Cricetulus griseus: one gene and its partners. The protein of the gene in region 4 purifies or fractionates together with the protein of the main gene of each other region. This does not show direct contact. Links are inferred from orthologs where the notes say so. Each region holds a gene or a part of one and is shown on either strand. Other genes may lie near its edges.

Region 1 (4,098 bases), about 38 Mb from region 4:
ATAGCTGTGAGCCCCAGATCTCATTACAGATGGTTGTAAGCCACCATGTGGTTGCTGGAAATTGAACTCAGGACCTCTGGAATAGCAGCCAGTGCTATTAACCTCTGAGCCATCTTCTCCAGCCCCTGCTATTAAGATTTTTTTTTAAGCCAAATGGCAATTCCATATCAGTGAAACATCAAAGGGCATGCCAATGTTCATAAACATGGCTGAAATTGTAATCTTTTTTTGGGGGGGGGGTGTTCGAGACAGGGTTTCTCTGTAGCTTTGGAGGCTGTCCTGGAACTAGCTCATGTAGACCAGGTTGGTCTCGAACTCACAGAGATCTGCCTGCCTCTGTCTCCCAGAGAGCTGGGATTAAAGGTGTGCGAAACCACCACCACCACCGCCCAACTGGAATTGTAATCTTGTCTTAATTTATTTTTAGTATTTAATGGTTTAGCAGAAGTTACAAGTTCAGGGGTTTGCACCTACTGTCCTATAGCTATACAGTCAGCACTGAATAACCTGGTCAATGCCAGATCATATATACAGTAATAGTCTAATGGTTATAATGTAACCAAAACCTTCCTTTGCCTAGTGACACAGTAGCTGTGGTAACACTGCATCAGAATGCATCACTTACACTATTGTGAAAAAAAACCCACAATAATTTTGCCAGATATATGAAAGTATAGCATATACAATTACAGGTAGTGCCTAATGCTTGATAAGGATATAAATAGTGATGTCACTAGTTTATGCATTTACTATAATGAACTTTTTACTATGATTTTAAAGCACACTCCTTCCTACTAAGAGATTCACAGTTGCTAGGTGTAATGGTACACGCCTGTAGCCCCAGTACTCAGGAAGCTGCGATAAGAGGATCAAAAGGTCAAAGGCAGTGTGGGCTTTGTAGCAAAAACCCTGTTCTCAAACAAACAAATATATAATTAAAACCCCCCTTTTAACAGAATGTCTTAATATACCAGCAGCAACTTTCATACGTCCCATGCTGCCAAGACTCTTTTTTGTTTATTATGTATGTGTGGTATGCCTTATATGTGCGTTGGGGTTGCTATTTGTGTCTGTGAATGCCTGCTGAGTGTGCAGGCAGTCGTGCTAAGGTAGGTTGTCTTTTTCTGTTGCTCTTCACCTTATTGCTTTGAGACAAGGTCACATGATGAATGGAAGTTCGGTTTCAGCCAGGCTGGCTGGCCAGAGCTCTCAAGATCTGTTTGTCTCTACCCTGAAATGCTGGGCTACAAGTATGAGCAGCCATGAGTGGCTTTTTATGTGGATGCTGGGGATTCAGGCTCAGATTGTCTTGCTTTCACAGCAAGCAAGTAGTCTCACCCACCAAGCCATCCAACACTCTCTTGCTGTTACCAAGAATCCTGACAGCACCAAGAGGCCCCATGGAGTAACTGTCCTGCACCACCTAAGTTTATCAAAGCACACTTGAGATGAGAATGTTTGCAGGACAAGTCACCTCTTGGAAGTGACACAACTGTATATGGAAATAACAACAACAACAAAAAAATGTAAGCCAGATTGGAGACTGGAGACTCTGGGTCAGAAAGGTAACACCCACATCCTTGGATATTCTGTTGAAAGTTAATACTGGGTGGGACATAATCATTTGGAGCAACTTCCGTGTCTTTGTTTCAAATGTTTTCTAGCATCACTCCACCCCTCTCCAGTTGTAAAAATCATAGACTATTATGTTTGTTTTTCTCTGCTCTGCTTCTTACTGTGATGGTAAACTGATGGTTCCTTTCCAGTGTTCATCCACAGTACTTAACAGTGCCACACAAGTAAAGATACTGCCTAGTATTGAAACGGGAACTGTGTTCAAGGTGAGAATCTCACATCTAAAATCCACAAATATTCGAAAACTCTTAAGGGGACCACATAATGCTACAAATGGAAAATCCCACACTAGGCTTCATATGAACAGTCAATTGTATAAAATTGCCTTTAGGTAGCCGGGAGGGGTGGCATACACCTTTAATTCCAGCACTCGGGAGGCAGAAGTAGGCGATCTCTGAATTCTAGGCTTGCTTCTACAAAGCAAGTTCCAGGACAGCTAGGGCTGTTACACAGGGAAGAAACACTGTCTGGAAGAAAAATAAAACAATTGCCTTTAGCCAGGTGGTGGTGGCTCATGCCTTTAATCCCAGCACTCGGGAGGCAGAGGCAAGTGGATCTCTGTGAGTTCAAGGCCAGCCTGGTCTGAGTGAGTTCCAGGACAGCCTGCAAAGCTACAGAGAAACCTTGTCTCGAAAAACAAAACAAAACAAAAGTTGCCATCAGACTATATGTGTAAGGACTTGAGACCCATCCCAAAGACGCTGAGGGGTCTGGGATGCGAACAAGAGGAGTGCACCGTAGAACCTGTGAATTTGCTCAGTATGTGAGCTTCACCTGGATGCACAGTGTAACTCTCAAGGCCTGGGAGGTGGCTGAACTCAAAAGGCGACTGTGCGGCTCCTCTGGGAAAATGGGGCGTGGCTCAGAGCGCGCTGGCTTCCGCTGCTCGGACCGAACCAGCAACACCAGAGGCCGGGAAAGTTGGTGTCTTGACCTCTCCTAGGCCCTTACCATTTGATGACATTGTGAACCAACGGCAAAAAGGAGTAATTCTCCTCCTTCCCGCCTGCGGGGGACTGAGGGCGCGGAGCCGGCGGCGGCGGGAGCGCGGCGACCGGTAGAGGCTGAGGCGGCGGCAGCGGCTTGGACTCCGGCAGCAGCTCGGGCGGTGGCTGCAGTGTATCTTCGGCCTGTCTCCCACCGGTCACCCCGGAGGAAGCCATGGTACCAGGCGTGCGGTACTGCCGAGAGTCGCTGGATGCTTACGTCACAGATGTGCGCCCGGGAGGCCGGGTGGGGAAAGGGTCTGAGCCTGCGCGCTGGGCGTAGGCGGGCAAGTGTTGCTAGGCGACTGGTATCCAGACGGCTAAATTAAGCAGTCAGGAGTAGGGGACCTATTTCAGTCATCTTTTTCTAGTTCGCATGACAGAGAAGGGTCAAAACACCAACAAGGACCCCCCCCCCGCCAGTCCCCGCCCTGGGACTGGCAGGAAGAACGGATGACGCCGGTGAGCGCCGTGTGAAAATGGGGCTCTGAGGCAGCGAGCATCCTGATGACAAGGACCTACGCTTCTTTGTGTCTTGCCAGCCTCCAGGAGGGCCCCTGACTGGCGACAGCAAAACACACCATACAAACACATTGTCTGCCGAGGTTCCACATGGCTGCCGAGGGAAAAATTAACCGTTCTTCAAGCATTTAGTCTGCATCTAGCAGGTGCCATATACTTATGTGTATAAGCAAAAGCGGGGGACTTCTGATAGATATTATGTTTTCCCAAGGAAAATATGACATGGAAGCTGTATTATAAATTTCTAGACAAGAAATTAGGAAAGCTGTCAACTGGGAGAGGCCATCTGTCCTTATTCAACCCCCATGCCAGTAAAGAGAGGCAAAGAGCTCAAAAAGGAACAGGAAGGGGCTGGAGAGACGTCTCAGTGCTTAAGAGTGCTCAGTGCTCTTCCAGAAGACTCTGGTTTGGTTCCCATCACTCACAAGGCAGCTCACACATGTCTGTAACTCCAGTTCCAGGGGCTCTGATACCCTCAGGCATACATTCAGGCAAACACCAGTGAACATAAAGTAAAAAATAAGTCATGAAAAAAGGAACAGGAATGTGAAGTTCACAGTGGCAAATCCCAAGTGGAGCAGGGATGTTGCTGACTTCAGCTGCCTTGGGAAGGGCATTTGGAGCCAGATCTTCAGAAATGGAATATTGGAGGTGTTTTGAGGTTTTTAGTTATGGGTCTCAGGATTGTTTTCTTCTGAGCTGCAGAGAGTGTCCCAAACAGAAGAAGTGGAGAAAGTGTTGGGAAAAGAATGATTGCAGTGTTGCATAAAGGAACACAGACAAAGTGAAATTTGACAAAGTGATTTCCTTTTGAAAAGTGAGTGTACCAGAACCCAAACCAAGAGAGCAAAAATACTCATTAAAATGCCCACTGCCTTTACCTCTTACTTAGATGGTGACTGCATTCCATCCCATTGGTGGGAACACAACTTCACAATATAACATGATGAGCTAG
Region 2 (4,072 bases), on a different chromosome or scaffold from region 4:
CAATATTCCTTTATTATAAGTATTCCTAACTAGAAAAAATATTGCCTCAGACTTGTCACTATAAACTTTTATGTTCCACTTTTTTTGAGACAGGGCCTCACATACCCCAGACTGGCTGGAACTTGTGTATAGCCAAGTATGGCCTTGAACCTCTGGTCTGCCTGGCTCCACTTCCTAAATGTTGGGATTAAATCAAGGCCAGTTTATGTGGCGTGCAACCCATATTCTAAGCGGGGTTTTCTTTGGTTTTGGGGTTGGGGAGGTTGTCTGTTTGGTTTTGAGTTTTTGTTGTTTGGTTTTGTTTCTCAAGACAAGGTTTCTCTGTGTTGCCCTAGCTGTCCTGGAATTGTAGACCCAGTTGACTTCAAACTCAGAGAGATCAGCCTGCCTCTGCCTCTGGCTCTAAATGGATTTTGTTTTTTTGGTTTTTGGGGTTTTTTTTTTTGGGGGGGGGGGTTGCTGTTGTTTTTAAAATCTACTTTGAAAATACAAAAGTTGACTTTATTTTATTTACTCTAATTTACCAGTTTCACTCAAGGAAAAAGTGTATTTGAATCAAGATCTTTATTAGAGAGACACACTGGGAAACAAACAGAACAAGGCACTATGTTTTGTTGCAAGCCCAGCCATTCAATTCAATTCAGAAGCAGAATTATTTTTAACTTCTCTCAGTTTCCAGGCAAAATAAAAATATTTCAAATTTAAAACTTTTTTTTTTAAATTCTAGATGAAGTGTACTACAAAGTTAGCTTGGGGAGAGAGGGGATCCACCTCGGTTATTTTATAACAACAATGTCCAATAGTAGCAATGGATTTGCTTTCCCCAATCATCCCTGTAAAGACTCCCACTGGAATACCAATTTAAAAAGTACTGTGGATACTCCAAAAACAAAGCACAACTCGATTACAGCACCTATAGCCCCAGGAGAGCCCTCAAGGACACATGGTAATTAAAAGAAACAACTCCTTCAACTGAGTAACTTGACCTCTACAGTTGTACCTACAACAGTAATCATCATCCTTGAAACCTGGACAGTTCTTGTAATTTTCAGAGCACTGTATATGAAACACTTCACACGATGTGTTTTGTTTTTCCTCTTACAATAAAATCAGCACATACTACTTTGATGCTGGAGTTCCGTCACCCAGCCAATCAAATTACAGCAGTGCAAGAAGGAACCCTAAGTAGCACTTCAAATCTAAAGTGTGGTGACAATCTGCTTATCAAAAATGCTCCAACACGATCCTAAAAACTCTCTTTTGTATAGTCTGACACTCCTTAGGGTCGGTTGGAGACTTTCTTTCCAAGTTCCAGAACCTAGCAAAAAGGAATTCCTTCCAGGATGGGACCAAGGAAACAACCGGCTTTAAAACCCACCATTCCTAGGCCAGAAGCGGGTTCCATCCGTCCTGCTCTGGCCCAAAGAAGACATTCTCGATGCATTATTATTAATATAACAATCAAATAATGCTCCCCAAGAGATTCCTATAAATTCCCTCAACTCCTAAGAACCGGTGGTTCAGGCCTGGGTCTGTCACTCCGTTTTCTGTTCTTGATGGTCTAGGTTTTCGATAAACACAACCAAAGCACGCAGCCATTTGACAAGAGGATGGGAAATGGAGGATATAATACTCAATATTTCTTCCTGAAGAAAAAAAAGGGGGGTAGCACATGTCCTTAATCACAGTACCTGAGAGGCAGAGGCAGGCGGATCTCTGAGTTCCAGGCCAGCCAGGAGAGCAGAGACCCTGTCTTAAAAAAAAAAAAGGGGGGGGGGGTAGGCGGTACCCAAGATAGCCAAGAGGAAGAAAAGGTAGGCACCAAAGAACACTAACATTTAATCTCTCCAGGGTCCACCTTCAGAGTGCTAAACTCAGAATGTTAGCATGTGGAATCGGGAGCAGGTGAGCAATCAGGGATGCAGACTGGGTTGGCAGCATCCAGAGTCAGACCCCAGGGGCCCGCCAGGACCCTCAGCGCGCTGCCGCCACACGGGCGGCGCCCCCGCGAGCTTTCAAACCGCCGCCCCGGGAAGGCGCTGCGCCGATTGGGAAGTTCTTCCACGACCGTCACCAGCACAGGGCCATAGCGGTAACTCTTCAGCCAAGCCCTCCCAGACCTCTCCGAGTCCCCGGGGACCAGACCTCCAAACTCCACCTCCAGGCGCGGTCTCCACCAGGTCGTCGCCCGCTGTAAGCACGCAGCGGCGACTCGCGGCGGGACCGACGCCCCCCGACGGGGCTGCGCCGAGCGACTTGGAGGGGCGCGACCGGCCAGCGGGGGGCGGCAGCACGAGTGCCTCCGGCTCGCCCCCGGGACGCCGCTCCGCGACCCACGCCACCTCGCCCCGTGGGCTCCGACCCACCCAGCCCTGCGGGTCTCCCAGCGGCGGGGACCGGACGAGCCCACTCCCCCGCCCGCGCTCTTACCCATCTTTCCGCCTCGCCTTGTAGACGTGCCCATAGGTGCCGCGTCCCACTTTGCACCCTTCGTACTCAAACAGATCCTCCACCCGCTCCCGCTCCGCCGCCAGCTTCGCCTTGAAATCATAATCCATTGTCTGCTTCCCCCATAGAGAAACCGGGACGCGGGGGCCGCCGCCACTCAGTCCCTCCGCCGCCGCCGCTCCACTTCTCCAACAGCCGCCGCTCGGGCGCGCGCGCGCCGCCCGCCGCTCCGCAGTCCGCCTTCAGCAAGGGACTCCTCGGCGGCCGAGGCAGCCACCTCCTCCGCCTCCTCCTCCTCCGCGGCGGCGGCGGAGGCTCCCGCAGGCACCCACAGTCCCGCCTCCCCCCTTCATTTCCTTGTTTTGGAACCTGGTGGGCCGCGCCGCGGCTTTCTCGAACTCATTAACAAGCCAAGCGGCCCGCCCCGAGGTGGCGGGGGATCCTGGGAAATGTGGTTTAACAGGCCTCGGGAACCGTGCTAGTTCCTCGGAGGTAAGGAATACAGTTCCCAGGGTTCCTTGGGCCATTTCGGCCACGCCTCCACAAGGCAAAAACGCCTGCGCACAGTCTCCGCCCCACCCCCTCAGGTAGCCCGCGACTCGCTGTTCCCGTAAACTATAGCGCGAAGTTGCAGCGAGCTTTCTGCAAGCCCGTGGGAGCTTGTGGGAGGGAAGCCTTTGCTCTGCTGGAAAGGAGATAACCGGCTCTGGCTGTCCCTGGGCGAAGGGAGCTGGAAGCACCTCACGAGCGCCTAGTGCCGGAGCTCATTCCGGGGCATCCGGAGCCGAGGACCGGGGTTTCGACAGTTGTACTACACATTGTTTGTTTTCTTGGGCAATTGATCCTCCCGTTGCCCCGCCCCTGGCCGCGGCTTATTGGCAGAGGCTGAAGAATGACGTCCTCGTGGGTGCATGGGTATCTCCGGCTTTGGCTTCTTTCCCGCTCTTGATTGGTAATTGGATGTGCTCGGTTCTTCCTGATAGGTTAGTCTTTTTTCTTTACGATGCAAAAACCGTATTTCAAAACCTGAACATTCAGCGGTTTCCCAGCTCTTGCTAGGGGAACCGTGTAACTTCTCGGGCCCACAGCCAATTATCTTTTTCTTGGCGCTCCAGTCGGGTTTTATCCTAGCATATGCGGGGTGCGGTAGCCGAGCTTTAACCATCTGTCTGAGAACAATTAAAGTGCCTGGAAGATTGGAAAATGCAGCGTTTTAAAAACAATCATTTTTGCTGGGTTGTAAAGCGTTTTTACAGTATATGCATAATAGTGAGACTCACCTAGGGGTTTTAAGAAATTTATCTTAATCATGACTTTGATTCGTTTTGATGTCTGGGGCTCAGGACACGTCGGCTCAAAATATGTAAGAGCCTAGAAAGTGCCACGCTAAAAATGTGTCCCTCTGCGTGTTGATTATTTTTAAACTAAAAGAAATGGAGATCCATCCAACACACGAGTTTCAGCTCCCTTCCACTACCCAAAATAAAATATAAGGGAACATTTTTTGTAAAGAGAATGTTAAATTTGTAAGAGAAATTTTATAGGGTATCTTTATCAGTAAGGCAGCTTAGCTATTCGTAGACAACATTATTGTTGGGGAGGCTATCTTTATTCTTTTCTCTCA
Region 3 (3,142 bases), on a different chromosome or scaffold from region 4:
CAGCACTTACGTGGATGCTGGAGTCTGAATGCTCATGTGGGAGTGCTTTGCTTGCTGCACTGCCTCCCAGCTGCAGTAGATACTTTGTGATATACCACAGAGGTCTCAAGTTACTGGATTGCTGACCTTGGACTTTCTATTCCAAGTCTGTTCAGAAGTTGGATCCCTTTCTACTCTCCATCTCTGTAGTCTTCCATACCTGTAATATTCTATGCTGATATATTTTGACAGGTAGACCAATCTACTATAGACCACACTTTGCAACAGATCCTTTAGAAGCCCCAGAACAGCAGGTCAGTACGAGACACTTGTAATACCTGATAGTCGGAGGTCATGATGAGTCCACCTGAGGTAGTGGTAGGAGGGACAACTCTCACTTTTTTCAAGGGGGGCCCCTGTGCGTGGCCGCTGTCCTGGTTCCCCGGATGGCCAGTTCCGTTAGTGTGGTTATTGCCCTGCTGCTGCTGCTGGTTCTTCTCAATTGGTTAAACAGAAAATAGTTCAACTCAGAAGGAGAACCAAAGGTAGCCACATCCCAAAGGTCACAGAAGTGGCCACATCCCAAAGGTCACAGAGGTGGCCACAAGGAAGGCACTGCCGACTGTAATTTAATACTTACTTTGTCTCCTTTGTCATCAGGTTCTTCTTCTGTTAAAAATTCTCGTTTGGGGTAAGGGATCTGACAACCGGCAAAAACACTATTCACAAGAGGAAAGAAAAGAGCTCTATCACATGATGCCTGTTATTTCCCAGGTTTCACTTAGGTGACTCACTGTCACGTTTTAAGAAGACAGGACTTGGTCTCCATAGCTAGAGATAAAAGCATCTTTCATGCAAATCTGATACAAAAAATCCTTTAACCAATGATACTGCAGCAGGTGGTTGGAAGGTTCTTCACTGTGTAATCATAATCAATAATCACCAAACAGGACAGCTCTCATTGGTACAAAGTATTTACCACTGCTCAGTGTTTGTCTGCCCTTCTCCAGTTAAAACAAAGAAAGTAAAGAGAACATGAGGGGGCTGGAGAGATGGCTCAGTGGTTAAGAGCACTGCCTGCTCTTCCAAAGATCCTGAGTTCAATCCCCAGCAACCACATGGTAGCTCACAACCATCTGTAGTGAGATCTGGTGCCCTCTTCTGGCATGCAGACATACCTGCAGTGTTCTGCACACATGCTAAATAAATAAATGAATAAATGAATAAATCGATCTTTAAAAAAAAAAAAAGAGAGAGAACATGAGTTTATTTAGGAACACCAGAGCCCAAGTGCAATCCCTCAGAGGCATGGCAACTTAGTGTGCCAACTAAGAGGAAGAGCACTTAAAGATGCCAGCATTCAGGAAGTCAGCAAATCCACCACTTACTCTGATGTGGGAAGTGGGTCTTCTAGGAAGTAGGGGTCCTGCATGGCCTGCTCTGAGGTAATTCGCTTTATTGGGTCCATAGTGAGCAACTTCTGAAGCTGAAATCACAAGTCACAGAATTATCAGTGCATGCTCCCACAAAAACATTAGTGCACTATCCCTAAGCTTATATGTCAGTACCCATGAGGGGTGGCATGCTTCTAAAAGCTAACACTACAACATGAATGGTTTTTATTCTCTCAAATTATCAGTAACAAGATACAATTATTAATGCAACAGCACACACAATCATCTCCTGGTGACTACACTTAACACCTTCTGACCCTCCTCCCCAGTGCTTTGTCCCTTCATTATCCACACAATTTAGAATGACCAAACTTGCATTTCCTGTTGCTTTTCTTTTAACAGGAGAAAGTGTTGTAATATAAACAACGCACAAGCCACAGCAGTTAGATTTGTGTCCAAATTCAGCAAAACTGCATTATAATTAAAAAAAATAATTCTCACAGCTATACCAGGTAATCAAGTACTCAAGAGGTGCATGGAGCTAGAGGCTACCCTACTCAACTGTTTAGTCCAAACCCTGACTCAAAATTTACTGGTTGAGAGTACCTGGCAGGTCAGTTCCCCTCTTTGTAACCATATCTGTCTAGATAGAGAATAAAAATAGTACAAACTATCATAGCTTGTTTTAGTATTAAAGAAATATATGGTTCAGCATTTGTGATAGTTCTTAATAAAGAGAGCACACTGTAAGTGTGAGTAATGTAGTACACTGAGCTCATCCTTGCTACATCCAGAGATACCACACTAGTATGGAAACGCAGCACTTCTGGGTTAAATACCTTCTGGCAATGTTTGTTCCTAATGTGATATAACAAGTTCCGATCTTCTGCAAACTTCAGTGTGCCACACAAGTGTTGCAAGGATTTTTTTTTAAACTGAGAGCTGAGCCTGAGCCCTGTTCCCAGAGTCTGACAGAGAGCTGAGCCCTGTTCCCACAGCCTGACAGAGAGCTGAGCTCTGTTCCCAAAGCCTGACAGAGAGCTGAGCCCTGTTCCTAAAGCCTAATTGTCGCCATACACAAAACTCAAGTCCAAATGGATCATGGATCAAAGACCTCAACATAAATTCATACACACTGAACCTCACAGAAGAGAAAATGGGAACTAGCCTTGAATGCACTAACACAGGAGACCACTTCCTAAATATAACACAAACAGCACAAACACTGAGAGCAACAATTAATAAATGGGATCTCCTGAAACTGAGAAGCTTCTGTAAAGCAAAGGACACAGTAAACAAAACAAAACGGCAGCCTACAGAATGGGAAAATATCTTCACCAACCCTACATGTGACAGAGGGCTGAATCCAATTTAAAAATGGGGTACAGCAGGCGGATCTCTGTGAGTTCAAGACCAGCCTGGTCTACAAGAGCTAGTTCCAGGACAGCCTCCAAAGCCACAGGGAAACGCTGTCTCAAAAAAACCAAAATGGGGGGGGGGGGAGATACAGATTTAAACAGAGAATTTTCAACAAAACAATCTCAAATGGCGAAAAGACTCTTAAGGAACTGCTCAACATCCCTTAGCCATCAGGGAAATGCAAATCAAAACCTCTCTGATACTCCATCTTATACTGATCAGAATGTCTAAGATCAAAAACACCAATGACAGCTTATGCTGGAGAAGATGTGGAGAAAGGGGAATACTCCTCCACTGCTGGTGGAGTTCAAACTTGTACAGCCACTGTGGAAATCAGTACAGCAATTTCT
Region 4 (3,749 bases):
GTGGTGATTATGAACTCAATCTTGGAACACATGTGTGCGGACGTGCTTCAGCAGACAGCAACACAGATCAAGTTTCCATCCACGGGCGTGGACACAATGCCCTACTGGAACCTGCTTCCTCCCAAGCGCCCCATCAAGGAGGTACTGACAGACATCTTTGCCAAGGTGCTGGAGAGGGGCTGGGTGGACAGCCGCTCCATCCATATCCTAGACACCCTGCTGCGCATGGGCGGCGTCTACTGGTTCTGCAACAACCTGATTAAGGTACTGGGGCCAGGGTGGATGTGGACAGCTATGTAGATTGGGGCCATGGGTGTCCTCAGTTGGGGTAGGCCAGGCTTCTTTGGGAGGTTGCTGGAAGCTGGGTGGTCTCCGGGGGAGACAGAGGTAGGGACCTCACCTCAGAGAAGCACCTTCGGTTGGAGTTGGATAGCACCTTTGACTGTAGAGTGGCTGGAGCATGAGAGCCCTAGGGCCCAGGTGTGCAGTGCCTTAGCCGCTGCTTGCCCACTGCCCAGGAGCTGCTGAAGGAGACTCGCAAGGAACACACACTGAGGGCAGTACAGCTACTCTACTCCATCTTCTGCCTGGACTTGCCGCAGGTGACCCTGGTCTTGCTGGGCCACATCCTGCCCGGTCTGCTTACTGACTCCTCCAAGTGGCACAGCCTCATGGACCCTCCTGGCACTGCACTAGCCAAGTAGGATTCTCTCCAGAGCCTTCCTGGTGTCTGCTCCCCTTGAGTCCCAAGAATCTACCACCCAGATTCAGGCACCCCAGCCCTGGTGCCAGCTCAGGAAGCCAGGCTGTGGTTGGGGGGCCCGCTGAGTGGTGGTGGGTGGGAGGGGCTTGTTCAGCATGAGCACACATAGCCTCTTTTGGGACTCTCTTAACTATTCTTTTTTCTTGGAACCCTTCACCAGACTAGCTGTGTGGTGCGCCCTGAGTTCTTATTCCTCTCAAAAGGGACAGGCAGCTTCCCGCCACAAGAAGAGACACAGGGAAGACATTGAGGTAGGTCTGCCACCGCCTTGGTTGTGTGTTTATTCATGAGATGCTTCCTGATCACTTAGAGCAGAGAGCTGCCTTCCCAGGGTGGGGGTGGGGTTGAGGTCCCCTGTGTGTGGGCCTTTTTGATTGGTCAGGGTCTGGGGGAGTGGCTTGAGTGGCCCCTGAGTATCCTTGATGAGGGTCCTTTCTGCCCACTAGGGCAGAGATTGGAGTGTGGGAAGGGCCACCACTGGGGATGCTGGCCAGGGACTAGGAAACTCACTCCTCTCCACTCAGATCTCACCTCCAGCCCTCTCCAGTCCTTGGAGACTTGGGAGGTTGGGTGTGTGACAGTGACTCCTGCCCCCAGGACTATATCAGCCTCTTCCCCGTGGAAGACATGCAGCCTTCGAAGCTGATGCGACTCCTGAGCACCAATGAGGATGATGCCAACATTCTGTCGAGTCCCAGTGAGCACTTGGGAGGTCACGGGCTTGCTAGGACCATTTGTCCCTAAGGACCTGCCTTGGCTCCCAGCTGATGGCTGTCAGCCAGTGTGGTGTGGCAGCAGCTTCCACGTCTGTCCCTAGTGGATGCTCTGCTGCCTGCTGGTGGGGACCTGAAGTTCTCCTCCAGGGGCCCTCCCAGTCCCACAGTTATCCCTCTCTTGTCACCAGTTGAAAGATGACAAGACACCCAGTGAGTTCACTACCTTGGTACAGCTTGTACCATTCACTCACTCACTCTGCCATCCTTCTAACCCAGAGACATGCCCTGTGGCTGAGAACAGGCCCTGTCAGGTTGCGACCTGGGGCTGCACTCCTGCCTTCCTATCCAGAGGGCAGCCCATGTCATCCTTTCCTTCTGCCAAAAGTTTTTTTGTGTGGCATCCAAGTTTCCTGTTTCCAGAGATCTCTTCTGAGCCTAGAAGTTTTCTCTGTAGCCTTATAAGGGACCAGGCCACAGCCACAGCCTTGTGTGAAAGAAAGCTGCTGGCAGACCACCTCTGACCTTAGCCAGGCTCTAAGCAAACAGATTGTACGTCTGTAAAATGGGCTTTGAGTGGGACAGGTGGCTTCAGCCACACAGAGTGCCAGGGTTAGCCTCGGTTGGTGCGCAGAGGCTTGTTCCCACTCATCTACTCTCCAGATTCAGGCTCTTCTGTGCCCCGTACGTGCCAGACTCCCCTGATGGCAGGGGACAGGTAAGGCTCCCCTAGAGTCAGAGCTTACGCAGCACCCTCTCTGCCACTCCACAGCTGACCGTTCCATGAACAGCTCCCTCTCGGCTTCCCAACTCCACACAGTCAACATGAGGGACCCTCTGAACAGAGTCCTGGGTGAGTCCTCCCAGCCGTGCCTACCTGCAGACTGAGCTACACGGGCCCCTCCTCGTCAGAGGCAGGGCCACGCCTGCCAGAGGGATCCTCTGGGCCCTGACATCCTGTTCCGCTTCCATGTGCTGTCCTGTTCCCTTACCACCGCTAACAGCCTCCCTTTACTCCATCCCCCATCCCCCGCCCCACCTTCCCTCCCTGGCCTTCCTATGTGAGCTCTCACTGCCTCTTCCTTTCCCTCCTCGGTCCCCTTCTTTCTCGTCTGACTTGTTCTAGAGCTCTGCTGTCTTGTTCCCTTCTGCACAGCCAACCTGTTCCTGCTCATTTCCTCCATCCTGGGCTCCCGCACCGCCGGCCCCCACACCCAGTTTGTGCAGTGGTTCATGGAGGAGTGTGTCGACTGCCTGGAGCAGGACAGCAGGGGCAGCATTCTGCAGTTCATGCCCTTTGCCACTGTGTCGGAACTAGTAAAGGTGTCTGCCATGTCCAGCCCCAAGGTAGTGCTGGCCATCACAGACCTCACCCTGCCCCTCGGTCGGCAAGTGGCTGCCAAAGCCATCGCTGCACTCTGAGGAGCTTGGAGTAGCCTGGACGGGGTCCCAGCCCCAGCATCCCAGCAGGGGGAGTGAGGATGAGCCCAGGCTGCCCCATCCAGTGGTGCAAGGATGCTTCTCCAGTCTGAGGCCCTCACCCACTCCTGCCCTCTACTTACTATGCCTGTTCCTTCTGTGGTTTTCTGTCCTTTCCACCAGTACCCAAAGACTGCGAGTGGTCCCGATGGTTGCCCCAATTCTTGCAGTAGCTGAACTCCAAGGAGGGACTTTATAGGGCCACAGTGTATATATAAGTTTATTTTTATAACTCAGGAGGGGGAGTCCCTCTTGCTTTGTTTGTAAATAAAGATCCTTGTAGCTATTGAATGCTGTTGGTAGCTTTGCTGGATGACTGGGGACAGTATCTTTTCCCTGCAAGTCTCTTGTGCTGTGGCCAGGGAAGGGCACAGTCCTGTGGTGGGGGAGGAGGTGTGGAAGGCCAGGCTCGTTTTTCACAGGCCCCCACTGAAAGTGGAAAGGTCTGTGAAAGCCCTGTACTGTGCTGTGCAGGGCAGGATGGCTTGCTCTTTAGTCACACTCCACCCTCTGGCCCAGAGTTCACTGTGTGTTCCAGAAGATTGTTGGAGGGATGAGGATGAGGACTCTGTTCTCCACACTCTACAGGTCCAGGGACATGGATCTGTGAGGCTGTGGGAAGGGAAATTGTCAAGGGGGCTTTGAGAAGCCAGTGGTATGGAGGGCTGTGGAGGACGGTGCCTAGGTTGGCCTGGTTGGGCAGCTCTGACCCACAGGGAGCCTGCAGCTGACTTTCAACTGCAAGTGCTCTTCATGGCCACATCCCACCCTTGCAGACATCTTCAGCTCAGGAG

The links.
Region 1: the proteins of Med24 (region 4) and Med9 purify together in Homo sapiens (affinity purification with mass spectrometry; 5 studies listed by BioGRID and IntAct, with this or other methods). This does not show direct contact. The link is inferred for Cricetulus griseus from reciprocal best matches to the Homo sapiens genes MED24 and MED9.
Region 2: the proteins of Med24 (region 4) and Cdk19 purify together in Homo sapiens (affinity purification with mass spectrometry; 6 studies listed by BioGRID and IntAct, counting the BioPlex papers as one, with this or other methods). This does not show direct contact. The link is inferred for Cricetulus griseus from reciprocal best matches to the Homo sapiens genes MED24 and CDK19.
Region 3: the proteins of Med24 (region 4) and Cdk8 purify together in Homo sapiens (affinity purification with mass spectrometry; 13 studies listed by BioGRID and IntAct, counting the BioPlex papers as one, with this or other methods). This does not show direct contact. The link is inferred for Cricetulus griseus from reciprocal best matches to the Homo sapiens genes MED24 and CDK8.

What each region holds. Positions count from the first base shown.
Region 1 is NC_048600.1:74,064,832-74,068,929, reverse strand, and holds the start of Med9 (mediator of RNA polymerase II transcription subunit 9), read right to left. Parts: upstream 2,835-4,098; 5' UTR 2,799-2,834; coding exon 2,587-2,798; intron 1-2,586.
Region 2 is NC_048595.1:262,901,086-262,905,157, reverse strand, and holds the start of Cdk19 (cyclin-dependent kinase 19), read right to left. Parts: upstream 2,812-4,072; 5' UTR 2,559-2,811; coding exon 2,431-2,558; intron 1-2,430.
Region 3 is NC_048597.1:82,215,040-82,218,181, reverse strand, and holds part of Cdk8 (cyclin-dependent kinase 8), read right to left. Parts: intron 1,466-3,142; coding exon 1,368-1,465; intron 699-1,367; coding exon 620-698; intron 477-619; coding exon 318-476; intron 1-317.
Region 4 is NC_048600.1:111,788,175-111,791,923, reverse strand, and holds the end of Med24 (mediator of RNA polymerase II transcription subunit 24), read left to right. Parts: coding exon 1-264; intron 265-518; coding exon 519-700; intron 701-923; coding exon 924-1,014; intron 1,015-1,360; coding exon 1,361-1,460; intron 1,461-2,248; coding exon 2,249-2,329; intron 2,330-2,632; coding exon 2,633-2,898; 3' UTR 2,899-3,246; downstream 3,247-3,749. UniProt on the Homo sapiens protein: Component of the Mediator complex, a coactivator involved in the regulated transcription of nearly all RNA polymerase II-dependent genes.